Linked DNA regions of Ovis aries. The protein of the gene in region 2 purifies or fractionates together with the protein of the main gene of each other region. This does not show direct contact. Links are inferred from orthologs where the notes say so. Each region holds a gene or a part of one and is shown on either strand. Other genes may lie near its edges.

Region 1 (4,558 bases), on a different chromosome or scaffold from region 2:
ACTCCTCAAGATCTACCACAATATAGGCAAAGACAACACCCTGTAGATATCTCCATGTTTGTTCCTGTCAATGTTTATCTCCTAATACTCCTAAATAAGCTAGTTGGTGACAACTAATACAATGCATCTCAGTAACTGAGGATCTTATGTATCATTCCCTAACTTAAACACACCACATTTGAACTAAATCTGATACAAATGACTAAATTAGCCCAGAATCCTCTCCAGTGTACCTAAAATGATATCACGTAAGACTAGTAGGGATCGTGCATGCCTGAGTGCTTAGTTGCTCAGTCATGTCTCCATGGGCTATAGCCTGCCAGGCTCCTCTGGTCCATGGGATTTTTCAAGCAAGAATACTGGAGTGGGTTGCCATTTCCTTCTCCAGGGGATCTTCCCAACCCAGGGATTAAACCCACATCTCCTGTCTCCTGCAGGCAGACTCTTTACCCACTGAGCCATTGGGAAAGCCCAGTAGGGGTCAGGAAATTTCTTCTGTAATGGGCCAGTCAGTAAATATTTTAGGCTTTCTGGGTTGTTTGTAGACTGTTGTAAATTCCTTTCCCCCATCTCCCCGAAACAACCCTTCAAATATATAAAAACCATCCTTACATCACAGGCCATACAAAAACAGGCTATAGTCCACAGATTACCAATTCCTTGGCTATGTGAAAGAAAGAATTATTTGGGAGATAATGGAATTTAGATGAGGATGAGGTAATCTCCATGGGAAACCTGAATGGCACGGCTAATTTTAGACAGTAAGCACTAGAAGTGACAGACGATGGATTAGACCATGGAGGTCAAAGGTTAGGAAGAGGGAGGCATTACCCGCTTCTGCTGCTCCAAAAGCTCATGTTCCTTCAGTGAATGATCTCCCTGCTTAAGAAAGAAAACGAGCTCATTCCAGTACCCACACCCCACCGGCCAGTCTACCACAGCTCTGCTTCCTGGTCTGCTCTTCCAGCCGAGGCCCTGAAGACTTGGGTCCAGACCTTCCCAGAAGCCTTGGCCCCAGGATCCGGCTCCCCTGGAGGCCCTACTCCCTTTTCAGGACCCTGGTGAGACCCAGGCTCAGGCTGCCACCTGCCCTACCTGCTTGGCACGCTCCTCCTGCTGCATCAGCAATGCCGCCTGCTGCTGCGCCAGCTTCAGCCGCTCTTCCTCAGACAGCGCCACGGGCTCACCCACCCGGAGAGGAGGAGGAGGCCCCAAGTTTGGCGGGCGGGGTCCAACTGCCATAGGAAAGCCAAGGCCAAGGCCAGGTGGGGGTGGTGGGGGTGGTGGAGGGGGTTGTAGAGGAGGGAGACCCATGGGTGGGGGCGGCATGGGAATCCCCGAGAGCTGTGGGGGGAAAAAAAGGCCATTAACTATGAAGCATTTATGTAATGGCAGGCATTTGCTGGGGAACTAATATAAGGCTGGCACTGGGATTCAAAGTCAAATGATGCACAATTCTTGCATTCAAGAAAATGCAGGGCTTCCCTGAAGGTCCAATGTTTAAGAATCCGCTCAACGCAAGGCACATGGGTTCGAGCCCTGCTCTAGGAAGATTCCACGTGCTGCGGGGCAACTAAGCCCATGTGCCGCGTGTGCTGCAGCTGCTGAAACCCGTATACCCTGGAGCCCGTGCTCCGCAACCAGAGGCCACTGCGATGGGATGGCCGCACAACACAACTAGACAGTAGTCCTGTGCTCGCTTCAACTGGAAAGGGCCTGCACACAGCAATGAAGACCCAGAGCAGCCAAAGACATAAAGGAAAAAAGAAAGAATACTCTACGGCAGTATCGAAAGAAGAGCATTTTAACTTTGTGCCACCAACTGATGAAAGCTGTCAACTCTGTCCCAGAAGAACATCATGAACACAGACTTCACATACAATTTCAGGAGACTCACGGACACCTCTAAAGGCCTTCTGAAAAACTCCTCAACCCCTCAAAAAATAAAAACCTTCTTATGCCACACATAGAAGTCCCTGGACCCCAAGTCAGGGCCACTGCTCTACAGAAAAACTATCAAATCCTGGATCAGAAAAGACATGGAAATTGAGAGTATTTAAATAAATAAGACCCAGTGTGCCCCAATGACTGATTAAATATAGAAGGTATGAAATTAAATCAGAGAGTAAGCCCTAATTTCTCATTGAATAACATGGGAACTCTGCACAGGGAGGGCAGAGAAGAGAGTGATTACTTCCAGCTGGGGAAGGATTATGTCAGGTTTCCAGATATTTAAGCTGAATCTTAAATGACACATGAAATTTGGAGGAACTGACACTGAGAAAGGAAGTAAGAATCTGGACGAAGGAAGAACTGAAGAGTTCCCAGTTCTTTCATCAGTGTACCTCCCTGCCCAGTGGGCTACGTGTATCCCCCTGTACGCTCAGAGGAGGAGCTACTCTGAGTAGAAAAGAATCTTATCAAGTGAGACAGTCTTCTTACCTGTGCTGACATAGGAGGAGGAGCAGCTTTGTCCCCATCTTCACCTCTCAGAACGGGACGATTCAGGACGATGCCAGTCTGTGAAAGTGAAAAGAATCTAGGGCAGTCTAAAAGGAGCTGGTGCATGAAACAGCGTTCGCTCTCGTCTATTCAACAAAATTTACCCAGTGACTGTCTGCCAGAGCTCGGAATGGGCTCTGGGAAGAAACGATATATACAAAAGCAATTATAACACAGCAGATACGAAGCAGCCAAGACCCCACTTGCTGTACCGAGATTCGTAAACAACGAAGACCGAGTTGTAACGGGTCATTAATGCCTCCTGCAAACGCTCGGCCTATCCTCATGTCCCGCCACCAACACTTACTTGGCGAGTGTAAGCCTGCAATCGCTCCACAAGCTCCTCGCGACTCCCTGCTAAGCAAAGCACAGGATCAACGGGGTAGGTCAGGTCGAGCAGGCCAGCCTGCCCAAGTCAGGCCACCGCGGCCAGCCTCTAACCCCCGCCCCCGGGTCTCCGGGGTAACCAGCTCCGCTTCCCCGCAGGCCTGCACTTTCCTGCCCTTGACTTCCCATGCTCCTCACCCTGGATGGGAGCTCCGATCTCTGCTAATTTGGCCTGAAGCTCCTGGGCAGCCCAGGCACCATAGTGTCCAGGAGGCGGCGGCGGCGGCAGCTGCAACTCTCCCTTAGGAGGCTCCGGATGCTCGGCCGCCATCTTAGCCGCAGGAAGGCGCGCGACCAACCCGGAAGCTCGGACCAGCCTCCGGACCCACTTCCCGGAACTTCCGGTAGGGCGATACGCCACGTCCGCTCGAGGGTTGCCAGGCAGTTCCCATCAGGGCCCACCCCCTACCGTTCTCCAATGCTCCTTAGGCCGCCTGGTCGCGAAGCCTTCTGGGAGTTGTAGTGCACAGGTCACGATCTCTGCGGATTCAAATCCGGGAGGATCGCGGCCGGCCGCGACGCGGGGAACTCTGGAGGCCAGAGCCGGGGCGGGGCTGTGGGGAAAGCAGGTCCTGCCCGAAGGGCGTGCTTTCTGCATCTCACTGGCCTCAGCGCAGACCTCCCGCCTTGCGGCGCTACTCCCTGGTTGGACTTGAGAGGCCTGGACGCTCACGTTCTCCAGGGACTCGTTCCCCCGGCGGTCGCGCGCTGTGGGCGCCAAGCGGGAGTTTGCCGCCGATGCCTGTGATAAAACAGTGTCTGATTGTCTGCCCGCCCATCCCCGGCCCAGGCATGGATGAATGGGCTGAAAGGAGATCGGAGACGGGAACGAAGCCGGCCCTCCGGGCTGAGATCCAGCTGCCGACCTGGGGGAAGGGCCACACTAAAGCCCCTTTTTCCACCTTCCTGGCCGTCTCAAATGTCATCTACGTTAAACTGTCTCCCGCCTTTCCTGCTCTGGAGCGGCCAAACCTCTACCATTTGTTTTGAAATCTTTCTTGCCCTTTTCTGCACTTACAACTCCCAAGACATGAGTTTTTACGGTCTCACAGTACCTGGCGTTAGAAGTGCTCAATGAATTATTACTGAAAGGGGGAAAAAAAAAAAAAAAAAGCAGTCTTAAGCGACAAGATTTGGATCCTTTTTTAGTCTTGAAAATAAACGCAGGGGAATTCCCTGGTGGTCCAGTGGGTCGAACTCAGTGCTTTCCCTGGGGAAACCCGGGTTCCATCCGCGGTCAGGTAACTAAGATCCCACAAGCCGCACCGCAAGGCCGAAAAAGAAAGAAAATAAACTCAGGACCTTTTCTTCCCTCATCCCCACCAGCTTACTGGCGCAGCAGACCCTGTCTGGTGCTCTCCTACCCCACCAGCGGCCTGTGCCCCTGAGGGAGGGATGGGCAGGTGGCCCTTGCTTGCCCCCTTCTGCTTCTCCCTGTCCTGATCAGTCAGTTCAGTTCATCTTCCCACCTCTGCCTCCAGCTCTGAGATCCCGTTCCCATTCTAGTGCTGCTGTCTCACAGACAGCCAGGTCGCAGCCAGTGTGCATGTATGTGTGTTGGATGAGAGAGCGGGGCAACTCAAAATGGTCTCTATTCCCTCTCCCCTCCCTCCACACCCGCATCCCTCAGATCTTCTCTCTAGCATGCTCTATTTCACGAATCACCCCC
Region 2 (3,987 bases):
TTTAGACAGGACAGCAAACCCCTCTCTTATAGTCCTACTACACAAAAAGAAGGCAGAATTCTTACATATTTTCTCAATGAAAACCGAGAGAAAATGAATATTGAACCATGGAGGAATTCAATGCTTCCATTCTTTCTGACATTAAAATGTCAGAAGTTTTGGAATAGTTTTACATGTCAAGAAATGTATGTGTGATTGCGGCCTCACATATGAAATTACCATTACCCAAGAACTTCTCCTATCACCCATGCCAAGCCTCTTTACATGAAGAACTAAGAATTCCACTTTCCCAACATGAGCTTGGGCTAAACATTAGAACACCCAGTCTGGCTTTATCATGAATGCTTTATCCAATTTTCATTAGACTCTCTGAGTCTCAGTTTCTTCCATTGTGAGGTTAAAATATTACCAACTGGTCTATCTACTACATTAGAAAACTTAAGACAGATTACTTTCTGAAGTCTTGCTTGACCTCTTCAGGTTGGACTGACATGTTCTCTTTACAGTCCCCCTACTATAACCCTGCACTCATTACTAACACAGCACCCACAACTCCTAATCCCCAATTCAGGGTCTGTGGCAAGCTACATTTTTTCAGGGTCTGTGGCAAGCTACATTTTCCACAGAGTCACAACCATAATTCTCATCTCACATGCTCTTCTTACAATCCAACTTTGACACTCCAACCACTGAACTGTATGTTATAAAAGGATCAATTGCATCTTAAAAAAAAATTACACACACACACGTGCTTCCTTGGTGCCTCAGACAGTAGAGAAACTGCCTGCAATGCAGGAGACATGGGTTCTATCCCTGGGTTGAGAAGATTCCCTGGAGAAGGAAATGGCAACCCACTCCAGTACTCCTGCCTGGTAAATTCCATGGACAGAGGAGCCTGGTGGGCTACAGTCCATGGGGTTGCAAAGAGTCAGACACAACTGAAGAGACTGAGCATGCACACAAGTCTAATTAAAAAAGAGAGAGTTCAGAAATTTAAAATACGACAGTAGAAATTTAAAAACTGTATGAAAGTAAAATTCAGAAAATCTCCTAGCAATGAATCAAAAAAGTCAAGACAGAAAATCAGAGAGGAATAGTGAAATAAAGCAATGAAGGGGAGGAAATTTTTCTCATTTTCAGAATAACTTCCCAGAGTTGAAGGTCATGAGTCTACAGAATGAAAAGACTCATCAAGTACCTAGTACAGTGGTTAAAAATAAACCCACATCAAGAAATATGCATGTGAAAAAGAGGTCATATAAGCTTCCAAAGGAAGGAAAAAACCAGGTTTCCTATTAACCTTAACAGCACAAGTCAGAAGACCCTGGAACACTGACTTCAAAGCTATGAACAAAAATCCTTTGAATCTGGAATTCTATACCCAGTTGTACGATCAATCAAATTAAGAGAGTAAAACAGTAATTTACAGATATTCAAGACTTAAAAACTGTATCTCCCACGAAACCTTCCTCAGAAAGCTACCGACAGATATGCCTCACTAAAAGGGAGCCAACCAAGAAAGCGAGAGACATGGGAGCCAGGAAAGAGGAGACCCAAGGGAAAACTTTCCAGGGTGACAGTGAAGGGGGAGCAAGAGAATGAGCCATAAACAAGATCTAAGGAGCAATCAGTCCAGGCTAGAACATTCAGAAATTCTGGGAAAGACTTCAAGCGCTGAAAAAGATAAGAATACCTAAAATTTTACCAGATTACAGGAGACTGACAGTTAATAAAGTCCAGATCCAGAAATGAATTTGTGCCAAGCCATCAAAAATGTTAGCAACTAAGTAAAACAAGTATTAATCCAAAGAAAAACAAAATACTATGCAGCAGAATAATTATAAGGTACTTTCCAGGTCAGCAGTGAATGCAGTTTACATAGTCACAAGTGAGTGTCAAAGTTGCTCAGTCATATCTGACTCTGCAACCCCATGGACTGTAGCCTGCCAGACTTCTCTGTCCATGGGATTCTCCAGGCAAAAATCCTGGAGTGGGTTGCTATGCCCTCCTCCAGGGGATCTTCCTGGCCCAGGTATGGAATCTGAGTCTCCTGCATTGCAGGAAGATTCTTTACCATATGAGCCACCAGGGAAGCCCCACATAGCCATAAGGTAAACCATAAATATAGAGCTAACCAAAATTATGATTAACTACAATGGAAGATGGGAAAATGGAAAGAGTGGATGCACAGTAGAGGCAGAGGGTATGAGAGAGCCAAATGCTCAATTTCTACATGGAAAAAAAATGCTTTAAACTGAAAATAAAACCAACATGAAACAAGTGTCTTACCATTACAGTGGTGAAAACAAAGAGCTGTCACTGATAACTCTAGAAAGCAGACAATGAGGGGCACTATTTTTTTTACATAGTCTTATATAGGACTGTTTGACTCCTAAATCAAAACCGTAAGATTATATTTGACTCTTAGAAAACTGAGATGTAAGGAGTGCTGAAAGATTCAATAGTATTCTGTTGCTGTTGCTGCTGCTAAGTCACTGCAGTCGTGTCCAACTCTGTGCGACACCAGAGATGGCAGCCCACCAGGCTCCCCCATCCCCAGGATTCTCCAGGCAAGAACACCGGAGCGGGTTGCCATTTCCTTCTCCAATGCATGAAAGTGAAAAGTGAAAGTTAGGTCTGTCTATTACCTAGCATGGTAACACCCTAGGAACACACAGAGCTGTACACCCTATATGTTAAGGAGCGAGAGGGAAATAGCACTGAAGGCCGTCTATGCCATGCTAAGTACAGAATCACAAGGAAGTTTTGAAAATCACTGTAAAAAAAAAAAATTACTGAATACAGGGAACTCTCCTGGCGGCACAGTGGGTAAGAATCCACCTTGCAATGCAGAGTACACAGGTTTAATCCCTGGTTGGGGGAACTAGGATCCCATGTGCCAGAGAGCAAGCAAGCCCGCTCACCCCAACTGCAGAACCCATGAGACACAACTAGAGAATCGGTGTGCTGCAATGAAAGCTCCTGTGGGCTGCAACTAGGACCCAAGCACAGCCAAATTAATAAAATTACTAACTACACACGTATTTTTTTTTCCAGGACTGCTAGGCAATGTGTAATTTTTAAATGCTGTGCTTTACTGACAAGATTTAGCTTCCCTACCATGGAAATCTCTAGCAGCTATGCATTCAGGACTGTTTCAAACTGCTTATGCTAAGAGACACAAAACCAAACCATTTAGTCTTCACCTTTATACTACTTTTAAGGACAGGAAGCAAAGTGAAAGGCTCATTCTACCATATGGCAGCCTACCTGCAGAATTCTGTCCTGGGAAGCTGGCGTTCGTGGTGTTCTCAGAGCAATGCTGTTGTTGGTGACATTGTACTCAGACAAGAGAGTACTGGAAGCAGAGTTTGTTATGCCAGATTCCTCAGCAGTCTGACGTGCAATTTCACTTGCTTGGCCTACTTTTACAACTTCTTGGAGTTCTGCGTCTGAAATCTGAAGATAACAGTTATCATAGTAGCAATATTTAACCAGAGAATAACACAGCTTAAAACGTCCATATTCTAGAAAGATGAACTGCTGAGTACACAGAGGTTCACTGTATACTCTTTACTTTGTGGGTTTGAAAATTTCCATAATATTACTAGTTTTTTAAAGTGTTCCTATATAAAGTAGGGGGGAAATTCCATACATGATACAATATCAAACTGTATTCTTCTATTTCCATACTGAAATTCTCTCAAAACAATATATTAATAAATCAAGATTATAAATTATTTGTACAAAACCATTTATCAATTGGGGGGGGCGCATACTAAAAATGAATTAAAATATCACAGAGTCCATTGAGCCACAAAAATCCCTAAGAAAATCAAAAGGTGTTATTTTTGTAATTTTACCAACAAATGTCCTAAGAACTGGAAAAAAAAGAAAAGGTTACAGGCAAAATTCCAATTTAAGAAATATCACCACTACAAATGATAGCATCTGACAAAACTATTTTATGTTTATACCCACGAATTT
Region 3 (4,489 bases), on a different chromosome or scaffold from region 2:
AAAGTCAAGAAAGACAGCCTATGGCCTGCTATTGTGGTTATCTGGCCGTGAGACCAGTGACCACCCCGTCACAAGAGCCTCACCTCCTGGGCCCTATCCTCACCTGTCTCTCTTGCCCACCATTCCACCCAAGTCTCCCTCCTGGCTCTTGTTTCACCCCCTGACCTATATTGTGAGTGTCCCCCAAATTCTGTCCTCTTTTCAGACTCACACTGTCCTCAGTAGGCACTGACAGCGCATCCTCCACTTCCCCAGCACCTCTAGGCCACACCATCCTGCCCACACCAATGCCCCCCGTCACTCTCATGTGGCCACAGAGCTGTAAGAGCCCACGGTCCCGGGGCACTTTCATCTCTAACCACCCTCCTCATGGACGGCCAACCGTGCCTCCAGTCATCCAGGGCAGAAACGTGGGTCTCTTCTCCTTTCCTCAACCTCCACATTCAGTGATAAGGAACACTTCTCAAGCACAGAGTAGGTTCTACATCCTTCTCTGAGCACCTGAAGCAGATTACATCTATAAGCCTTACAGGCCCGCGACGCTAAGCATTCTCACTACTGTCATTCTACAGATGACAAGCTAAGAAACGGAGACCCCTCCCTGAGGAAGCCCACGTGGCAGAACCAGGATCCCAGCGCATCAGTTCAGAGGGAGAGCTTGCACATCAGCCCTTCCGTGCCGTCAGCGTGCCGGCGCCCTCTGCCCCAGGCCCCAGCCACAGTGTAGGCCAGGCCCTCAACGTTTTTCAAATAACATGACCAATCTTTCCTCCGAGCAATTCTCCACATCACTGTCTACCTCCATTTCTGCAACACAAACACGTCAGTCTCCAGCTTACATCCGCTCTTCTCCCAAAAGCCTGCTAGGAAGAGTTCAAATCGCCAGTAATACAGCTCTTAAGTACCACTTTCCCAACTCCATGCTTTAACCTTCTTTACCCTTGACCAGAAGCACTGTCTGACTCAGACCTCGGTACCTCTGCACTTAGGTGGCTTTACCTGGCTTATTTTTCCACGAATACCGGGAAAATGCCAGGGTTACAGAGGTACTTGCAGTGGTCAACAGATAGGATATGCTCAATAAATAAATTTGCTGAATGAATAAAGAATGGTATTTGCCTGCCCCATCACCTACCTGGTGAACTGACTCATCCTTCTAAACACAACTTAGCTTACATCCCATGGGCCTCGCCTACCTTAAACTCTCCTCTAGCCCATAAAAGCGACGTGGATTAGAATTGCTGCCTCCACTGTTTAAAATAGCCAAGATGTGGAAGGGCTTCCCTGGGAGCTCAGCTGGTAAGGAATCCGCCTGCAATGCAGGAGACCCCAGTTTGACTCCTGGGTCAAGAAGATCCCCTGGAGAAAGGATAGGCTACCCACTCCAGTATTCCTGGGCTTCCCTGGTGGCTCAGACAGTAAAGAATCCACCTGCAATGCAAAAGACCTGGGTTCGGCCCCTGGAGGAGGGCATGGCAACCCACTTCAGTATTGCGTGGAGAATCCCCATGGACAAAGAAGCCTGGCGGACTACAGTGCATGGGGTTGCAAAGAGTCAGACACAACTGAGCAACTAAGCACAGCACACAGCACAGGACATGGAAGCAAGCCAAATATCCATCGACAGATGAATGGATAAAGATGTGGTACGTATATGTGATGGAATATTATTCAGCCACTAAAAAGAATGAAATGATGCCATTTGCAGCAACATGGACGGACTCAGAGAGTGTCATGCTGAGTGAAATAAGTCAGACAAAGAAGGGGAAATACCGTATGGCCTCTCTTATATGTGGAATCCAAAATGAAATGACACAAATGGACTTACAAAACAACAGGAGACTAACAGACTTCGAAAACAAATGTATGGTTACCGGGGGGGAGGAATAGTTGGGGAGTTTGGGAAGGTCATGTACACGTTGCTATATTCCAAATGGATAACCAACAAGGACTTACTGTCTGTCACAAGGAACCCTACTCAAAGTTATGTGGTAGCCTGCATGGGTGTGGGATGTGGGGGAGGACAACTGCGTGGATATGCATGGCTGAGTCCTTTGCTTTTCAGCTGAAACTACCACAACACTGATAATCAGCTATATTCCGATACAAAATAAAAAGTTTAACGTTTAAAAAAGAAAGAATTCCTGCCTCATTCCTAATACCCTGCAATTATCACCCAATTATTGACCCCGTCCCTCTTCCTTAGCTGAATCTTTTTAAGGGCTGTCTGAAACAGTATCATTTGTGGTGACTGAGACGATATTTACTAGTATTCTCTCATATCTGTCTCCCCACTAGTCCCTGAGCTCCCTAAATAAAGCACGAATTGTGCTTCACTCATTTGGCTAATATCGTAGCCTGGCACGGTGCCGGGCTTACGGTAAGCAGAAAACAAACGCTGAGAGTTAACATTCAAAGATGTACCCTGCAGGCTGGGTAATTAGGGACTCCAGAGCAAAGGCTGGGGGGCCGGTGAGCCCAATTAACCACACGAGACCGGAGGATGCGCTAGAACAGGGCTTCTCAAACGTTAATGAATCACCGTGGGATCTTATTAAAAACGCAAATTCTGATTTTAGAAGATCTGGGGTGGGAAATCAGCATTTCTAATCAACTCCCATTTGCTGCTGGTCCGCGGACCTCAGTTTGAGATCCACGGCACTAATAAGGCTTCTTCCGCTACCCGAAGGCAGGCGGGAAGCGCGCTGCCTCCTGGGACTTGGAGTCCCCCCAAATCCTCCTAAACGGCAGCTCCTTCCTGCACGAGTTAGGAGCGCCCGCGCGGGAGGCGAGGGCCCAGGCCTGCTCAAGCGGCCGGTGGAGGTGCAGAACTCGCCGTACCTGTTTGGGCTCGGTGGCCGCGGGCGGCGGCGGGGGCACCGCCTGCACGGGTCCGGCCGGCATGACTGCGACGCTCAGGGCTGCCAGTCCGCCTCGGTGTAGGTGAGCGGTGCGGCGTCAAAGCGCCTTACCGCACCAACAGTACGACAAGCTCTCAAGATGGCGGCGGCCGACCGAGTTGTCGCCGAGGGGGCGAGGCTGACGCACGTCCGGGCCCGCCCCTTCTCCGTGACATCACTTCCTGCCCTTCCCACGAGCGAGACGCCGTTGCCATGGCAGCGGCAGGGCAGCAGGGCTAGGTTTTGCACCGGATCCCCGGAGCTGCAGGAGCGCCTGGGGGCAGTTCCAAGAACCCGCCAGACACAGGGGCTGAGGCTGCGACGCCGGAGACTGGTGAGACTTTTTACATCTTCCGCCCCGACGCCCGGATCCCCCTCTCCTTTACTCTGCCAGGCCATTTCCCCTCTCCCTCCGACCCCCGCCTTCTAAATCCCGGGTTCTCTCCCACTGGGCTCCCACTTTGGCCAGATCTCCGCCTGCCTGTTCTTCCAAGCCCTTCTATACTTCAGGTCCACATCCTCCAGACCCCTTCCCAAGTCTCGATCCCTAATTCCCACTGGTCCCGTTTCCCGCGGCCCTGTCTTTTCCAGTTCCACCCCCGCCTGCCGTAGTCCCGCCCTCCAACCGGGTGGACCCACTCAGATCTAGGTTTCTTCTTTAGGCTCCACCCCTCACGTCCGCAGGTTGGTCCCGGCGGGCCTCTTCCCCGCCCCCTGGCACACCACGATCCCCCTCTTTTCGCTTCTCCTCCTGGGGGCTTCTCTTCCCTTTCCCCTCTCCCCTCCCTCCTAACTCCAGAATGTGTCTGGCTCTGAAGCCTTGCCTGGACTTCAGTTTCTTCACCGATGAAATGGGGGTGTGGCGGGGGGAGTGATAGGAAAAGATGCCCTCCCAAGTCTCCTCCCGTGTCTCTTTCTCACACCATAGCTGATTGATGTTAGTGTTACTATTAACGTTGAATTATAGCGATAGTTAGGATTTGTTGAACATGTACCATGAGCCAGACTCTGTGCCAAACACTACATGCATTCCATCATTTGTTTCCCAGAGCAACTCATTTACAGATCTTCAGTTTACATGGTGGAGTGGGAATCCAAACCCAGGCCTTTCTTACTGTTCTACTGGTGCGCTTACTTGGTTACTTGCTTTGTCTTCACTGGATTCCTTCAGTATCCCCCCGGGGTATCCAGGCAGTTAGCAATCCTGAGTCAGAGACTGACGCTGCTATATAGATGGGTTTAGAGTTTCCAAAGCATTTCCATGGGTGCACTGGTCAGGATATGTGAAATCGCTCAGTCGTGTCTGACTCTTTGCAACCCCACGGACTGTAGCATACCAGGCTCCTCCGTCCATGGGATTTTCCAGGCAAGAGTACTGGAGTGGGTTGCCATTTCCTTCTCCAGGGGGTCTTCCTGACCCAGGGATCGAACCCAGGTCTCCCTCATTGGAAGCAGATGTCTGAGCCACCAGGGAAGCCCACTGGTCAGGAGGTAGGCATAATCTTTACCTGAAGGGTAGGGTCCCAGGGCTTAAGACAAAGAAGGGACTTGAATGTTGAACAGAAGCGAAGGAAAGGTTCCTTCACTCC
Region 4 (3,348 bases), on a different chromosome or scaffold from region 2:
AGAAATTTAATCAGCTCTAAGCACACATTTAATTATGGTATCTAAGAGGAGACTTATCCTTAGAAACTGACACCAAGTTAGGAAAATCAATGAACATTTATCGGATCATGATTACAAGTACAATCTTAACATCTATATTTACATATCTGAGGTTGGCACTGGCAGCTGAGACTCAAAATTGCCACTTAAAATTCAGAATGAAAATCTGCTAAGTCTTTTTAGAAAGCATTCCCTTTCTTTATACTGTCATAGGTGACATCCACTTACTGTTAATATTGCAGTAAGTAAACACTACTTTGTCATTATGAAGGAAAAAACTGATCAGACAGAGATCATAATGTAGTTTTCTGGAAAACTACACACACTTTCACTATACACAGTATATAATAAACAAGGTACACTCTGTACTGCAGTAACATGCAATGGTTTGGTTGTAGAAATGTTAATGTAATTTCTGCTACATCAGAATTCTGTGAAGTTGGGAGTCATAAGGATGAAAAGAGCAATTGTTTAATGGTTACACAGTAGATACATCTGACGCATAACATACAGTTACCACTAGGTATCAGCATGGAATTTACAAACAAAAATTTAAAAAAAAAAAAAAAAAAGAAGAAGACTGACCTATATAAACCTAAGTGTAAGGATGGACTTTATTTTTTTAAAAAAAGTCTTTTGAGGACTACAAATTACAAAGTAAAAGCAGATCACTATGTAGAAACCTAGTGAATACATTTTGCCTGTGCATGAAAGCTTTATCAAAAGTCATTCATTTAACAATTTCACCCCCTTCACAACGGTATCAATTATAATGCTCTTCTTCATAAGGTTATACCTTTATTTCAAACTATATTACATGTTATTCCCTTAAGATAAACTTCTAAACACAAATTCTTGGCTCATAAGAATGGCACCTTTGAAAAAGGCAATTTCCACTCAAGTCTCTCGTGGCATTATTCCAAGCTTGTTTCTTTCACCAGTCAAAAAACTTTCAAAGTGTTTACTTTCAACATGAAATCTTTCCAGCAAAAAGCGTGGCCACACTTTGTTTTCTAATGACTACATATGAAGACAGGTAGCAGCAAGAAAAGATGGAAATTAAAAAGGCAGCCATTAAAATAAATGGATCAACTGTATAGAAGAGATATTTGGCTCATGGCAATTTAAGAAACTGGCAACTAGGTTAACAGCCAGATAGCTGAGTCATAAATGAACCTGTGAAGAGAATGAAGCTGGTCCACTATGACCAAGTAGCAACACATCATTATCACCGCACTTCTCTCTCTACAACAAATACGCTAAGCCAACAGGCAATACGGAGTTATATTTGGAGTCCCAATTAGAACATGCTGATCTTTTTTCTTTCAACAATTTTCTGGGTTTAGTACAGTCATTTGCTTTACTCGCACTATTTCTGGTCCTCTCTCACGAATCTAAGTGCAGGATAAGTGTAAAATACTTTAAATGGCAAGGCTTTTTCCAAGGTATGTTTGAAAATGGCTTTGTGAAAAGAATATTCATTTGTTTTGTGTGGAAAGAAACAAACTGAATGCAGAAGTTTTTCAATGGGAAAAAGCTTAATTTTTTTCTTCCTATTACCTCTGCCACATACAATTTCCCAAATACCCTACTTTCAAGTTTGTTCTCCATGGCTTCATTTTAGGGAATGAAAATCAGAGAGCAGACAATTGAGCTCAAGTACATCTGGGGCTAAAAATGCCAAGAAAATGTTAACATGGAAGCAATGGTCCAAATACTCAAGATTCATGTTAATGAATTCAATTACTGTATATGATAGTTTTCATTGATGAGCAGGGCTTTGGGCATATCAAATTATCACACAAATCATTGCCTTCTGAGACACTGGATACTTTTACAGTTTAATTTGCAAACAGAATTTTTATAACAAATTATTTTTAACCAAATCATATCTTGAAAACTGTTTATATAGAAAACCCAGGGAATAAAGTGAACTGTTCATTGTGGAAGGCCTTAAATTACATTATTACAGTAGAAAATACAGGAGGTAGAAGATAACTGAAAAGACTAATGCAACATCAGATTCAAATCTATAGCTCCTGTAGCTACCTAAAACATGGTTTTAGAAACTAAATCCAACATTTCCAGTAACCATAGAAACAGTTAAAATAAAATTTGCCATGAAAGCCCTTATATCATGCTTGATATAGGGAGGTAGGAAGATGTAAGAACCAGGACACATGAGACATGACATTTTATCTACAACTCCTGTTTGCTTTACTGAGGGTGTAGTTTCAAAATTCAGTCACCTTCTTCAGCTTCAGACTCAGATTCTAGAAAAGGGGAAAAGTGCAATCAAGCATTACATAATATCAGAAAATAAAAGTTCCATTTATAACTTTACTTAAAATTTTTTATTAATAATGATCTACTCATATGAGGAGGATATCTAAAAGTATGCATCTGTAAATCTCAAAATTCATAAATATTTGGACTTCCCTGGTGGCTCAGATGATAAACCTGCAATGCAGGAGACCCAGGTTCAGTCCCAGGGTTGGGAAGATCCCCCGGAGGGCATGGCAACCCAACTCCAGTATTCTTGCCTGGAGAATTCCATGCACAGAGGAGTCTGGGAAGCTATAGCCCAGGGGGTTCCAGAGTCGGACATGAGTGATTGACTAATGCACACATTCTCAAAATTTTCAATTTTCCTAAGAACTTTAGTATTATGGCCAAGTCATCAAAATGCTTGAAGTCTAGTTTTTCTCCCCTGCCTTAAAGTAAATGAGTTTTTGGAGGTGTGTCATGAATAAACAAAAATCTGTACTTTAGGTACAAAATGGTATCTGAATGAAGGATGACATGTATGGACATATTCTTGTCCACATTAAAATAAGTTCTCAGGCTTTACCAAACAGATTGCACAAATGAAAAGACTTACCCTCTTCAGCATTTTTGAGCCACTCTACAAACTTTTTCATTTGCTCAAGGAAGACACTCTTCCCCTTGGCAACGTGTGCATCTTTATACCATTTTAGAATGGGTTCTTCACTCAGAACTTCAGCTGTAAAGAAGAGAGCACCCTTTACATCTGTGGAGTATTCATACAGTACTTCCGTAACTGAGGCAGAGTCAGAAACTCCCTAAGGTGCACATGCCTTCAGAGCATTTTTGTTTTGACTGAAATGTGGAGTAAAATCAATTATTTTTGTTGCTTATAAAATAAATCTGTGTTCAACACTCAGCTAGTTTCTTCAACAAATTAATTTTTAAAAGAAAAGTAGAAAAGATGAAATGAGAACCATGCACTAATAAACTTTATCAACTTGAAGAGTGATTCTCTCAACTGAAGGCAACCTGATCCCCTAG
Region 5 (4,696 bases), on a different chromosome or scaffold from region 2:
TATTACAGGTTTTGTGGTTGCAAAAAGTTACGTAGTTGAAAAGTTTACTGGTACTGCTACCCCCCTAAGTCTAAACTAAATCTAATGCTCCCATTTGTAATTTAATTTGTAAATTAAAAGTATTTTAAACATGAGTCAATTATGAATACTAGTTTAAAGGGGAAGGTGAGACTTAAAATTATTCCCAACTAGATTATCTACACCAATATGTTGGAATTCTATATTTTGCTTTCATTTTGTCTTTAAAAAATGAAGTAGCAACGCTATATCAGTCACACAGAGGACATGCAGATTTAGCAGTATTGATATTATACTCTATCTGGTTGGAATTAAAGACACCCTGTACCCACATGTACACCAACAGCAGGTCACACATTAACAGTTGTAACTAAGCATTATGACAAATTAGCCAGTTCTTCCCACATTAGTCCCTATTAAAATAAAAAAGGGAAGGGAGCAAAATAGTTACAAAATGGGCAATGTAATTTTGCCACAATTGCCAAGGTTTAAAGAGCAAAGCAATTGTAGCTAAAGGTAACTGCATTAAGATGCTTACAAGTGTTTTATGGTAGATGTATACATAATCAATTTAAACCCTTGCCTTTAGTATAAGGTCAATACTGCCAATTTCATCTGTGACAATAGCACTTGGAGTCATACCATTGCCTCCATTATTGATCTGATCCTCCTCAATCCTCCTTTTGACAATCCTAAAATGATTGAAATGTGCTCCACAATCCTTAATCCAAAGCATTCTTAATCCATCTCTTCAGATATGTCTACAGAAAGACACATGAAAAGCAAGATAAACATAAGAACTTCCCCAGGTAAGATAACCACAAACACCCCCAACATCCCAGTTCACACAAACCAGAGCAGAATAGACATTTACACAATATCACAGTCTGAAGAGCATGGAGAGTTAACTAAATTTAAACAATCCTGGCTATGACATCACTTAAAATACAATTTATCGACATGAGGGGAATGTAGATGTTAGGAGCAAGGGGTATTACACAAGAATGCAATTCAACACTTTAGCCCATTCTGAACAAAACAGTTTGAATTAAAAAATGAAAAGATTGTACTGAATAAAGGAAAACTGTATACAACATGGGTTCTACAAAAAAGTGTCACCAATCATCTTATGTACGAGAGCGAGATCTGCTATGACGGGGAGAATAGCGTGGTGATCCTCTGCTTCTCCTTGGGGAATAACTTCGACTCCTGCTGTTGCTTCTGCTACGGCTTCTGCTACGACTACGGCTTCGAGATCGAGATCTTCCATAACTTGGACTTCTGGGCCCATCAACTTTAACCCGGATGTAGGCAGTTTCTCCCTATTGAATAGACAGAACTTTCGATTGAAAGATCTAAGTTTTCACCTGTCTTCAGGCATGCTGAATGAATACAACGTAATTTAAACCAGAGGCACTTTACTGGGTTTACTTGGACACCCTTGCCTGAATCTTACCTTCAAATTCCACAGTTAAGACCACTGTATCCAATTCTGGCCAATAAAAAGAATAAGTGTATAACCTACCTCATGAGATCTAAACTTAGTGTTATCCAGTTTTCGAACTGCATAGGTCATATCTTCTTTCCGTACAAACTCCACGACACCAGTGCCATCTCGGTAAACATCAGCATAACATACATCACCTGCTTCACGCATGTGATCCTTTAAATCCTGCCAGCTTCCACTTGGAGGCAGTCCTGAAAAAGAGTTTTTTTCAACAATTATCCTAGTATTTCACATTAAAGTTAAAATTTACATTAGAACCAAGACTACTTTAAAATTAATGATTAGTTTTAACATCCTAGGTTAATGATTCAAAATTCTAGAATTAAAAGCCCCAAATTATTTACAAAGTAATGATCTTCATATTCTAGACACTGCAATCTAATTCGTTAAATCTCAAATACAGTAATTCCTGGTTACTAAATTCATCCATGCGACTGAAATAATTTAAAGACCTACCATGAAAGCTAGCATTTGTCAAACTACGCATGCAAGGAAAACTTTAAAGTGTAGGATCTGTCCAAAAGTGACATCGACCCGCGCGGAACGGTCAACTTACCAGAGACAACCACTCTGTTTTCAGAACGCCTGGATGGGGGGCCATAGCGGCCCCGGGGAGCCCCGCCACCTCCACCCCCGCCGCCGCCTCGGCCTGTACCACGGCCACTTCGAGGAAACTCCACCCGCAGACGATATCCATCGTAATCATAGCCGTCGCGACCGTACACCGCGTCTTCCGCATCCCTGCGTGATTACAGAAAGCCGAAGGGTAAGAAAAAGGGCCGGGAGGGGTGGCCACCTCCGTCGGGGAGCCAGCAGCGCCCCGCACATGCGCACCCGGGGTGGAAGAGCCCACATGCGCCGCATAATAGGGACGGCCCCTCCCCCACCCAGAAGCACGCCAGGCTCCCGACCACTACAGCAGCCCTCAGCGCCTCAGTTTCCCGCTCCGAGCCCGCGAGCCGGCTCCGGAGACGCCCGGGGGACCCAGTCACCAGGGAAGCCTCACCGACTCGGCTCCTCACTTCACTCGTGCGCGGCCGACTCGTCTTGCTCCCAACCTCAGAGCCCACGTCCCCATTCTCTCTAAGGCCTTGGAGCACTCCCCAACTACTCCAACCTATATCCTCAAGGCCGCAAGTCCCTGGCCGCCTCACCGCGGGTCCTCGAACTCAACGAAGGCGAAGGGCGGTCCTCCGCGGCGATTCTTCAGGTCGATGTCGCGGATAGCACCGTATTTGTAGAACACGTCCTCAATGTCCTTGGTTCGGATGTCTGGAGGTAAGTTCCCTACGTAGATGCGGCAGTCGTTGTTCCCTGCCGGGCCACGAATCACACCACCTCCCGACATGGCGGCGACGAAAAGCGCGGACTCGAGAACAGGCCTTCCCACCAAGCCTAGCGAACGGCAGAGCGAGCCCGCCGCGACACCACGTCTCCCGCGGCCCCTCCAAAATGGCGCCTTTATCAGCTCGGCGCACGGATATGGGGGGGAGGGAAGAAGAGAAGCGGGAGGAAGCAGCTATTCGATCTCACTGCGCACGCGCAAGAGCGTAACGGGTGTGCAGCGAAAGGGACGCTGGCGCACGCGCGACGTCACCCTCCGCGCGAAGGGAAAAAAGTTCCCGCGTTCCCGTGGTGCCGAGAGCTTTGCAAAGGAAGTGACCGGCCCTGTGGTAAAGATTTAGGGCAGAGCCCTTGTAAAAGAGGGTTATTAATCTTGTCGAGTCCTAAAGAATAATCAGTTTCCCCAGGAATAAGTCTCTTAAAGCAAAGGCGCTTTGGAAGGATTTAGTGAAACCTAGCCTATAGCTTTATCCCACAATGCTCTGCGGGGTTAACGGCCTTGGGCGGGAAAGACGCCCCCGGGGGCGGAGTCAATGGGGGAGGGACTGGGCGGTTGCTCCGGAAACGGGCGCGTCTTAGGAGACTGCGCCCAGTCCGGGAGTCGGCGTTGTCTGTGATTCTGTGCAGAGGCAAGCCATCACTGTGTTTCCGCCTCGTCTCCTGTGAACCTGTGCGCTGCCTAGACGACTGTGTAATATAGGGGAGCCGAGCTTAGATTCCTTAGATTCTACATCAAGTACCGTTCTACCTTCGGTTCAGCACCAAGCTTTGTATATATTTAATAACTACATTCAACACTGCTTGTGTTTGTTAGTGGCGGCGATTCCTGCTCTGACCAATCGTTGGTGGTACCAACCGGGACCCAGATCTCTCTCTTTTTTCATCGCCTATTACTAGGCCCAACGCAGCGGAAAGGTGCATTGAAGGCTGCAGAATGAATGGTGCCTGTTACTTCTCCATCCTTTTTCAAAGAACGAGAAAAAACACACGCGCCTGCGTGTGTGTATGCAGAATCCTGAAGTTCCTTGTTTTGAACTCATTAGCAGGCCTCTCAAGTAATATAAATGAGCCCAATGAACTTGTGAGAACTGCTGTGGCCGCTGGAGACCACAGTTGCTGCTCAAGACTGATCTGCTAGTCAGGTCCAGGGAGATTAGAACTTCTACATTTTTTCCTATAGAGATATCTATTTGAAATCTGGTTTTTTATATGAAATGCTGGAACTTTACATTATTAGTGATGAATTCAAATTAAAACAACAAACCTGCAGTCATAAATATGCTAAAACAGCTAGCTCTGCACCCTAAGGGTAAGGATGATTTTCTTCAGTTTATGTATGTATTTGTAATAGTCCCTCTCCTCAGGGCTGTAAGGCAGTTTTATAAAGATACTATAAAACGTTATTAAAACTAGGTGGAGAAATCTAGGTGCCTTTGAAATTAAAAAGAAAAAAGATGACATGCTTTCAGTTCTATAAGTTGATTGAATATATTCTAGTAAATGTTTCTCAGTAATCCCAAAATACAGATTTACTTTGCTCCAGATCCATGGAGGAGCTTTGGTAGTTCTTAAAATCTCTGTGATAGTTGACAAAATTTTGTATGTGTACTTTTTTGTCCTTTAAATCATCCTTCATTGACATATTTTATCTATTGCCTTTTTATTTTTTAAATACTTATCTATTTTTAGTTGGTTGATGATTGGTTTATAATATTGGTTTGATTTCTGTCTTACATCTACATGACTTCAGTTCAGTCGCTCAGTTGTGTCTGACTCTTTGCGACCCCATGAATCGCAGGACGCCAGGCCTCCCTGTCCATCACCAAC
Region 6 (4,707 bases), on a different chromosome or scaffold from region 2:
TAATTCAGTGTTTACATTAGATGCAACTAGTTTTCAACTTCCGTTTAATGAACTCTGTCTGCTCTCTTGCACAGCTTTTTAAAATTAATCCTGGAGTTGAATCATGAGCCCTTCACTCTCTCCATTCTCAGCCTGCCTCGTTTTATCTGTCCTAATTAACCATTCAATCCCACAGTCTGCCCCGTGTCTAAATCTCAATACATTGACGCAGATCATGCAGTCTGACCAAATTCCACCTTCCTGAAGAGGCCTCTCCCAGTGGATTTGGTGTGTGACTGCTACAGCTGGGATGCGGTTTATCACCCTGAGAATGTACTCTTTTTGTGTGTCTGGGTGAACTGCACACTCTAACTTGTGACGTCCTTGCGGGTTTGAAAATGTTCTGACCTCCTACCTGAAGTTTGTCTGAATAGAGAATGCTAGATTGAAATTTTCCTTCAGAATACTGAAGACTTTTCTCCACTGAGTTCTAGCATTCAGTATTGTTGGGAACCTCCATGCCATTCTGATTCTCGATCTTTTGTCTGAGATCTGATATCCCCCCCCCCCCAGGAGTTTCTAAGATCTTTTTATATCCAAGGTTCCAAAATTTCAGGTTGGGACTTTCCCGGAGGTCCAGAGGTTAAGAATCCGCCTTCCATCGCAGGCAACTGAGCCCACGCACCTCAACGAAAAGATCCCACGTGCCGCAAATAAGACCCAATGCAGCCGTAAATAAATACAAAAATAAAGAAGAAAATTTATTTTTAACAGAAAAATTGGATTTCACGTTAGTGTGCTCTGTCGTGCGTCTGCTTTCATCCACTGTGCTGACCATTTTTGATTTGAAAAGGCATGCTTCGGTTCAGGGAAAGCATCTTGAATTATTCCGTTGATGATTTCCGTGGACATTGGACCTCCTACACTTTTGTGTGGTCCTGTTTTACACTCTCCAGAAAGGAAAACTTCCAGCCTTTTGCCAAGATGGAGAAAGAAAGCTGGGGTTCTGAAGGCACGTGAACAGGGCTTTCAACCAATCCTCCTAACTTAGCCCCTCCCCACTCACCCTCACACCCAGGGGTTAGCAGATGCCAACAATTCCCAGCTATCAGAAATTCTACAATGTAAATCAGGTTGGTTCTCAGCTTTCCGAACTGCTGGCTTAGGATCCTTTACCACTCCTCACTTTCTAGCTTCCAAAAGTTTGCAGCTGTTGTCTGCTCCCCATTCTCTCAATTCTTATTTTTTCCCTCAACCTTTTACTAGTTTCAGTAAGGCTGGAGGAGATAGCAAATTTAGATGCATCTTTATATATATAATACACCCTGTACCCGAAATTCCCACATAGCTGTTTTTCCATGCTAATGTTAAGTTCCTGACTACAGTTTCTCCTGGAAAGATGAAAGGGCATTTCAGGTACAAGGCTCTTCTTTTTCTTAATCAGAAAATGAATGTCACCCACTAGGGACCCTGTCAGAACAAAAGTGAGGAAGAGCACACTAAGATCCTTCAGAGAAGTAATCTGTTGGTTTAGATCAGATGCAAAGAGCTTAAAAAGTTCACAGGTTTCTCTCTAGGGTAACACTGTCCAGAAGCACTTTCTGTGATGATGGAAATGTTCTTTTACACTGTACAATGCATCAGTCACCAGCCACATACAGCTACCCAGGCACTGAAATGTGGCTAGAGCAACCGAAGAACTGAATTTTAAATTTCATTTAATTTTAACTAACCTAAGTAGCTAGTTGGCTGTTAATTAACTGGTTACTATACTGAACAACACAGCACTAGAGAGATTTTTTTTTTTTAATATTTATTTATTTGGCTGTGTCAGGTCTTAGCTGTGGCACAAGGGGCGCCCAGGCTCAGTTCCCCAGTAGTATGTGGGATCTTAGATCCTGGGCCAGGGGCTGAACCGGTGTCCCCTGCACTGGCAGGCGTCTTTAACTACTGGAGTACCAGGTAAGTCCCAAGAAGTGTTTGCTTTCTTCATTTGAGTTTTAATGTTACACATTCAGCATGTATTCTCCCAACCCCTTTCAAAATACCCCTTTCTTTCCAGGATCCATCATAACAAACTTTGAACAAATTACCAGAACCTTCCTTGCACAGGAAACTCACAACACACACATTCTGAATAATGAAGTTAAGGGCTCACTCTCTGACTTCAGGGCCTTCATATCAAAATAAATAAATCTCCTCATCCCGACACCCAAGTGAGCCAAGCTGTCCTTTTGAGACCTGTTTCATTTCCCGTAATACTGTCTTTTTTTTTTTTTCGTAATATTGTCTTTTCTCTCTAAAACACTCACAGCCACAAAGGAGGCTGGGGTGGAGGGGGAAAGTCCCCCCTCCAACACTCAAGGTGACAAGACTCTTCCCAAGTTGTGACAGCTCTTTTATCTAACGCTGGACCTAATAATAACCACCAACTTACATGGGGCCCTACTTTATTTCATCGATTCCTCACAACGACCCTACGAGGCAGGTATTAGTTTAGCCCCATTGTATGGATGCAAAGACCGCGACTTGACAGGATTAAGCAGCTTGCCCAGCGTCTTAGAGAAACTGATCAGCTAGCACTCAAACTCAGATCTGTACAAATCCAAACACTGTGCTTTAAGTCCCCGAGCGTAGTAAATGTCCGAGAAATATCTGCTGAATATAAAGTTTTAAGGCATAGTTGGCGCTGGCCGAGGTTCATCGTGGAGGGTTTCGGAGAAACGGAGCAGACTCTGAAACGGGAACTGTGGCAACTTCAGGATCAAGAAGGGTCTGCCGAAGCCGAGGCCGGAGTCCGACTCGTCGAGCCCACGGCCGGTCTGCGCCGCCCGGGCCGGGAACCAGGACGAAGCCGGGTCCGTGGGGAGTTCGCCCGAAGCGCCCCCGGGACCGCGCCCTCCGCAGCCGCCGCCCCCTAACCCCCTACGGCAGCTGCACTAGCGGTCAGACCAGACCGCCGCCGTTCGCGCCTAGTTGCTGACCGCGTTGGCCTCGCAGTCGCCCGCCTTACCTGCGTGTCCGCCGCCATCCTGCCGGAGCTGACTCCGGAACCGCTTCCGGAGCGCTTCCGGGTCACAGCGCGAGCCCACGCGGCAGGGCGAGGCCGGGATCCCGCTTGGAGCCCGCCCGGGCCCGGGGCCTGGCGCCCCCGGGCGGGACGGCGGTCACCGCAGGCCGGGATTTGACTCAGGCAGCCGGAGTGTGTTATCTGAGGGATACCGGGGACTATCAAGGCCTGCCAAGGGCGTGCTTTTCGACCCCCGGGTCTCAGGGCCCTTCTCAGCCCAGCCTCATGGAAGATGAGGGTCCCTACAGCTCCGACCCACGTGTGCGCAGGCAGGTCCGGCCCGGGTACCCCAACGTGGGCCTCTCCTGTGTGAAGACCGTTTTACATAAGTGTGGCCTACTTGTTTGCCAGAGGGGTTTCCTTGATGACAGGGGCTGAACTCAGTAACAGGCAGGCAGCGAAGTGTCTTATACCGTTGTTTGTACCCCAGCAGCAATGTTAGAAGATTCTAGAGCGGAGGGAGGAAACTGCCCAAGGGCAACTCCTTAGACCAAGGCCACAGGGTAGGAGGCTGGGGCTAGTTTAAATTTTATTCTGTATGCAAACCTGACAACTCTACCTACTTTAATATGGTCTGCACAGATCAGTCCTGTCTCTGATGTTAGCAATGGCTTTCAAACTTCTGAGTGCGCGCATGCTCAGTGGCTAAGCAACTCTTTGCAGGTAGATGGACTTGTAGCAGGTCAGGCTCCTGTCCATGGATTTTCCAGGCAATACAGGAATGGGTTGTCATGAGGCTTCCCTGGTGGCTCAGAGGTTAAAGCATCTGCCTGCAATGTGGGAGACCTGGGTTCAATCCCTGGGTAGGGAAGATCCCCTGGAGAAGGAAATGGCAACCCACTCCAGTATTCTTGCCTGGAGAATCCCATGGACGGAGGAGCCTGGGGTGCTACAGTCCATGGGGTCGTGCAAAGAGTCGGACACGACTGAGCGACTTCACTTCACTTCCTCCTCCCAAGGTATCTCCCAGACCCAGGGATTCAAACCGAGTCTCCTGCGTTGCAGGCAGATTCTTTACTGCTGAGCCACCTGGGAAAGCTCCTTTGGACTTGAGACCTGGATACAACCAGCACTTACCTCATGATCCAGTCAGTACAGAATAAATGATATGTATGATTCACACCTACAGGACATTTTCTCTTTAAATAGTGGCCACTAAATTGGACCACCACCCAGTCTGAAACACCCCCGGCAGCACACATCTTATCTCAGTATGACACCAAGCCTACTTAAATTATCTCAGAGTGACCCAGGCTTGTGGCCTGATGGTCATGGAGACAAATTTCAGTTTAACAAACATACAGTTAACACTGGGTAGAGACAAAGTATAGGATGCTAGGAGAGCAATGTGTCACTTTCAAAGAGAACACCCAAATGTCAATTTCAAATCAAGCTGATTTGACCATGCCTTTGGTTTCTAGCATACAGCACTATATAACCTTCAAACGCACAAAATGAGAAGCTCAGAGACTTGTAAGAGAAGTAAGCCTTTATTTTCTCATTTCACAAATAATGCTGGCCCGGTTGGCTGCTCTTTGGGGATTAGTCAAAGAGACCAAATCCCATATCCTCGTCCGACTCCTCCGACTCCTCCTTTGCTTCGACCTTGGCTGGGGCTGCGGTGGTGGCAGCGGGGGCAGCAGCGGGGGCAGCAGCCA
Region 7 (3,470 bases), on a different chromosome or scaffold from region 2:
CATGGGGTCACAGAGTTGGACACAACTGAGCGACTTCACTTTCACTTTGTGGACTCAGGTTAACCTGTGTCCAAGCTCCTGCTGAGGATCCTAGAGAAGGGAGTTTAAATAAATGCCAGTGATAAAGAACAAGTTATTTTTGCTTTAAAGGTTTTACCTTTAACCCTACCAAGCTCAACATCATTTACAATGGAGGAATCCTATGAATGGGTCTCTATCTGTAAAAGATTCAATTCCCAGTCTTACATTTTCTATCAAAATGATAACCTTAAAAATCCTAGCCAAGGTTTAGGGAAACTTCATTTCCCAGTTGTGTAAACACTTCCACTTCCTGTATCCATATCCTCATATTTCCAAAGGTTTTATTTCATATATTGTTTGATGTTAAACTCCCCCAGGCTTTGCATCTAGTGAGTGTCAGTGAGCACTCTCTCTCACTCAAGCGAAACATGGCAGCTGAGTATCCAGGACACAGGTGAATGCCACACGCTTCCTGGGCACACTTAAGAACCTCTTTATTGTCTGGGCTGAGAGAAAAGAAAGGGGCAATGCCAAAGTGAGAGGTACCCCACGCTCCCTCACACACGCACTCAGGGTGCTTTCTGCTTGACAACACTCCTCTGTACCAACAGTGGTCCAAAATGGAATCCCTTTAATCTTTCATCACACTTTTCAAAAGATGGAGGAGATGTGATGAATTAACTGACTTGAGATATGAGGAGAAAAAGTTTACAAAGAAATCCAACACACAGAAGAAAATATGCAATGTTTTACTAGCTGCATACATTTCAACAAACAAGTTGGGGACACAGATTTGGCTATTTATTAAAAATATTTATTACAAGGTTTCTTTTCCTATATTTAAGAGAAAACACATGACTGGAAATATTGAGATGGAAACTGGGTTAAACCAATTCCCAAGTCCTTATCAAGTAATTAATCAATAAAGGAAAAGATACTTTGGAACTAAAAATTAGGGAAGCCTATACACAATTTAGATAGGGGTGGGAGAGAAAAATCAAAATGAAGTCAGATCGTTTACATTTTATAGCCTTCAATTCAGCACATAAAACTGTACTATTTAATGTATTTCTCCATGAACTTTTTGTGAAATTCAGATCGAAGCGTATCATTTACAAATCTTTTGTCTTTCTTCTGATCATCTACACCTTTTGCACAGTTCTTGAAGACAACGTCATCATCCCACCTGAAAGAAAAAAAATAGAACAATCTTACAATACCTGTATCAATGTGAACGACAAAGCTTCCTCATGCTCAACATGCACATCACTTGATGCTGCGATTATACCCAAAAGAACAAGTAATTTTTAAGAGGCAGTTGGCTTGCTTTTTTAACAGGAAGAGTAATCGCTATTTTAGAATACACACAACATTCCTGTTATTCTTCCAGTATAAAAAACTTTGAGTTAAAAAAGCAGAAGTTGCATAAATATTCAATGTTTTCAGGTCTAAAACAAAGCGGCAGCACTTGGTACTACCCTGATTAGTATTAGGTCTCAAGGATAACTGGGCAAGTCACTATAATTAGATTATGAGTTTTAAGGATTTTATATATACTCTGTAACCATTTAACACGGTAGGACAAAAGAAGGAATTATTAGGGTATAATAATTAAGGCTCATATGTTGGCCCACATCTACATTAACCACAAGGCAAGAGCAGCTGAAGAGCTTAGGGCAGAACTCTAGTTAAGATTCTCTTGGTTGGCTTTCATAATGTATAAACTTAAAGAAGAAAAAAAAAAAACAACAGGCAGCCCAGGATGGGCTTAAATACATGTTTTAGAGAAAATAAAGACTACTATTTCAAAATATCATCTAGCATATACAACACAAACTCATATGTGCAATATATGAGTTCTCATAAATATATATCAAATGAAAGGCTATACAATGTGTGTGAGTGTGGATGTATGCATGTCAGAGGAAACTGCATGTGGAAAATCAGCAAAGAACATGGGCATCTTTGAAAAGTGTTTTAAGTCATCACTGGTGCAGTGCAGAGAAATGTGAAAAGCTGAGCAGAGCTAGGTCAAACGTGATCTGCATATTAAGAGATGTTTCAACCTCCAAACATTTCTGTCTGTACCAAACAAGGAAGAACCACCATATAGTTTAATACAACCAAAAAACTACACATACAACTTATATTTTATATATAATCTGTACTGTATACATATATATATAATCTCCAACTTATTTACTGTACAATACCTTCTTTTAACTTTGAAGTTGGCCTGAGGCTGGGATGGGCCAGTGAGATTAAGAAGAGGGTTTCCACTCAGAATGTTTTCCATACGAATCCTTTCTTCTTCAGCTTTTTGTTCTTGTTCCTGTCAACAATATGGAAGATTCATAAGTAAAAGATTCATTTACTTATATTAACTCTGGTGTCAATCTTATTATTATAACTCATATTTTAAAAGACTGTCAGGATTTTTAGAGGGAGATGGGATAAGCATCAAGATAGCATTGTTTTTGTTTTTAAAAATATACCAAAAAAGTCCTACTGAAATAATTTGGCACTTTTATTATAAATATTTCATGTTTGTTATTCATTAGTCTCTTTCTGACTTTGAAATTCTTGAGTTGCATGTTTATTTAAACATATTTTCTTTCTCGAATTACATACAAAATTACATAACTGCTTAGAGTATATCAGTAAACATTCTAATCATTTAAGAACATGTTTAAACATCAAAAAGACACATGAGGCAAAGCAATTTATCTCAATTTCTAAAGAAGGGTTAATATAGCAGATTATAAATAATCTTTTGACTCAGTAACAATGTAAACTAGCATCTCTAGGACTTGTGACAAGTTATTATTAACCAAGAACAATTTCCTATTATTTCTTTTAGAGTTACTGGTTGACTGCCACACATAGCACTGGGGAAAAAAGGTGCCAACTCTTTCCATACTCAAGTACCAGGTACACTGTTTCATGACCATAGGTATATAGGAATGGACAGCCTGTGGTTTACTCAAATCCAACCATCCTGTTTCGTAAATAAATTTTACTGGAACAGTCTCATTCATTTATTTATGTTTCCTATGGCTGCTTATCCTACAATCAGCTGAGTTGAAAAGTTGCGACAGAGGCTATGTGGTCTGCAAGCCTAATACAGTTATTATCTAGTCTCTTGCCTGGAAAATCCCATGGACAGAGGAGCCTGGTGGGCTGCCGTCCATGGGGTCGTGAAGAGTTGGACACGACTGAGCGACTTCACTTTCACTTTTCAGTTTCATGCACTGGAGAAGGAAACGGCAACCCACTCCAGTGTTCTTGCCTGGAGAATCCCAGGGACAGGGTAGCCTGGGGGGCTGCCGTCTACGGGGTTGCACAGAATCAGACACGACTGAAGCTCCTTAGCAGTAGCAGCAGCAGTCCCTTATAGAAAGTTTCCCAGCCCCTAACATAGGCTGACTGGTCTGAAATGTTTTGAAACA

What was found.
Region 1: the proteins of CDC5L (region 2) and SF3B2 purify together in Homo sapiens (affinity purification with mass spectrometry; 3 studies listed by BioGRID and IntAct, with this or other methods). This does not show direct contact. The link is inferred for Ovis aries from reciprocal best matches to the Homo sapiens genes CDC5L and SF3B2.
Region 3: the proteins of CDC5L (region 2) and SF3A1 purify together in Homo sapiens (affinity purification with mass spectrometry; 3 studies listed by BioGRID and IntAct, with this or other methods). This does not show direct contact. The link is inferred for Ovis aries from reciprocal best matches to the Homo sapiens genes CDC5L and SF3A1.
Region 4: the proteins of CDC5L (region 2) and BZW1 purify together in Homo sapiens (affinity purification with mass spectrometry; 3 studies listed by BioGRID and IntAct, with this or other methods). This does not show direct contact. The link is inferred for Ovis aries from reciprocal best matches to the Homo sapiens genes CDC5L and BZW1.
Region 5: the proteins of CDC5L (region 2) and SRSF1 purify together in Homo sapiens (affinity purification with mass spectrometry; 4 studies listed by BioGRID and IntAct, with this or other methods). This does not show direct contact. The link is inferred for Ovis aries from reciprocal best matches to the Homo sapiens genes CDC5L and SRSF1.
Region 6: the proteins of CDC5L (region 2) and GCN1 purify together in Homo sapiens (affinity purification with mass spectrometry; 3 studies listed by BioGRID and IntAct, with this or other methods). This does not show direct contact. The link is inferred for Ovis aries from reciprocal best matches to the Homo sapiens genes CDC5L and GCN1.
Region 7: the proteins of CDC5L (region 2) and CWC15 purify together in Homo sapiens (affinity purification with mass spectrometry; 4 studies listed by BioGRID and IntAct, with this or other methods). This does not show direct contact. The link is inferred for Ovis aries from reciprocal best matches to the Homo sapiens genes CDC5L and CWC15.

Annotation. Positions count from the first base shown.
Region 1 is NC_056074.1:40,571,783-40,576,340, reverse strand, and holds the start of SF3B2 (splicing factor 3B subunit 2), read right to left. Parts: upstream 3,186-4,558; 5' UTR 3,161-3,185; coding exon 3,028-3,160; intron 2,860-3,027; coding exon 2,810-2,859; intron 2,521-2,809; coding exon 2,443-2,520; intron 1,345-2,442; coding exon 1,096-1,344; intron 883-1,095; coding exon 832-882; intron 1-831. UniProt on the Homo sapiens protein: Component of the 17S U2 SnRNP complex of the spliceosome, a large ribonucleoprotein complex that removes introns from transcribed pre-mRNAs.
Region 2 is NC_056073.1:17,861,328-17,865,314, reverse strand, and holds part of CDC5L (cell division cycle 5-like protein), read right to left. Parts: intron 3,460-3,987; coding exon 3,271-3,459; intron 1-3,270.
Region 3 is NC_056070.1:69,363,457-69,367,945, forward strand, and holds the start of SF3A1 (splicing factor 3A subunit 1), read right to left. Parts: upstream 2,998-4,489; 5' UTR 2,905-2,997; coding exon 2,842-2,904; intron 1-2,841. UniProt on the Homo sapiens protein: Component of the 17S U2 SnRNP complex of the spliceosome, a large ribonucleoprotein complex that removes introns from transcribed pre-mRNAs.
Region 4 is NC_056055.1:203,226,282-203,229,629, reverse strand, and holds part of BZW1 (eIF5-mimic protein 2), read right to left. Parts: intron 3,044-3,348; coding exon 2,880-3,043; 3' UTR 2,313-2,879; coding exon of another isoform or gene 2,281-2,312; 3' UTR 1-2,280. UniProt on the Homo sapiens protein: Translation initiation regulator which represses repeat-associated non-AUG (RAN) initiated translation probably by acting as a competitive inhibitor of eukaryotic translation initiation factor 5 (EIF5) function.
Region 5 is NC_056064.1:8,495,064-8,499,759, forward strand, and holds the start of SRSF1 (serine/arginine-rich splicing factor 1), read right to left. Parts: upstream 2,983-4,696; 5' UTR 2,874-2,982; coding exon 2,680-2,873; intron 2,267-2,679; coding exon 2,082-2,266; intron 1,717-2,081; coding exon 1,544-1,716; intron 1,341-1,543; coding exon 1,146-1,340; 3' UTR 1-1,145. UniProt on the Homo sapiens protein: Plays a role in preventing exon skipping, ensuring the accuracy of splicing and regulating alternative splicing.
Region 6 is NC_056070.1:62,691,448-62,696,154, forward strand, and holds the start of GCN1 (stalled ribosome sensor GCN1), read right to left. Parts: upstream 3,029-4,707; 5' UTR 3,011-3,028; coding exon 2,993-3,010; intron 1-2,992. Other genes in the region: RPLP0 (large ribosomal subunit protein uL10), read right to left, coding at 4,592-4,707. UniProt on the Homo sapiens protein: Ribosome collision sensor that plays a key role in the RNF14-RNF25 translation quality control pathway, a pathway that takes place when a ribosome has stalled during translation, and which promotes ubiquitination and degradation of translation factors on stalled ribosomes.
Region 7 is NC_056068.1:15,099,476-15,102,945, reverse strand, and holds the end of CWC15 (spliceosome-associated protein CWC15 homolog), read right to left. Parts: intron 2,354-3,470; coding exon 2,235-2,353; intron 1,208-2,234; coding exon 1,078-1,207; 3' UTR 755-1,077; downstream 1-754. UniProt on the Homo sapiens protein: Involved in pre-mRNA splicing as component of the spliceosome. Component of the PRP19-CDC5L complex that forms an integral part of the spliceosome and is required for activating pre-mRNA splicing.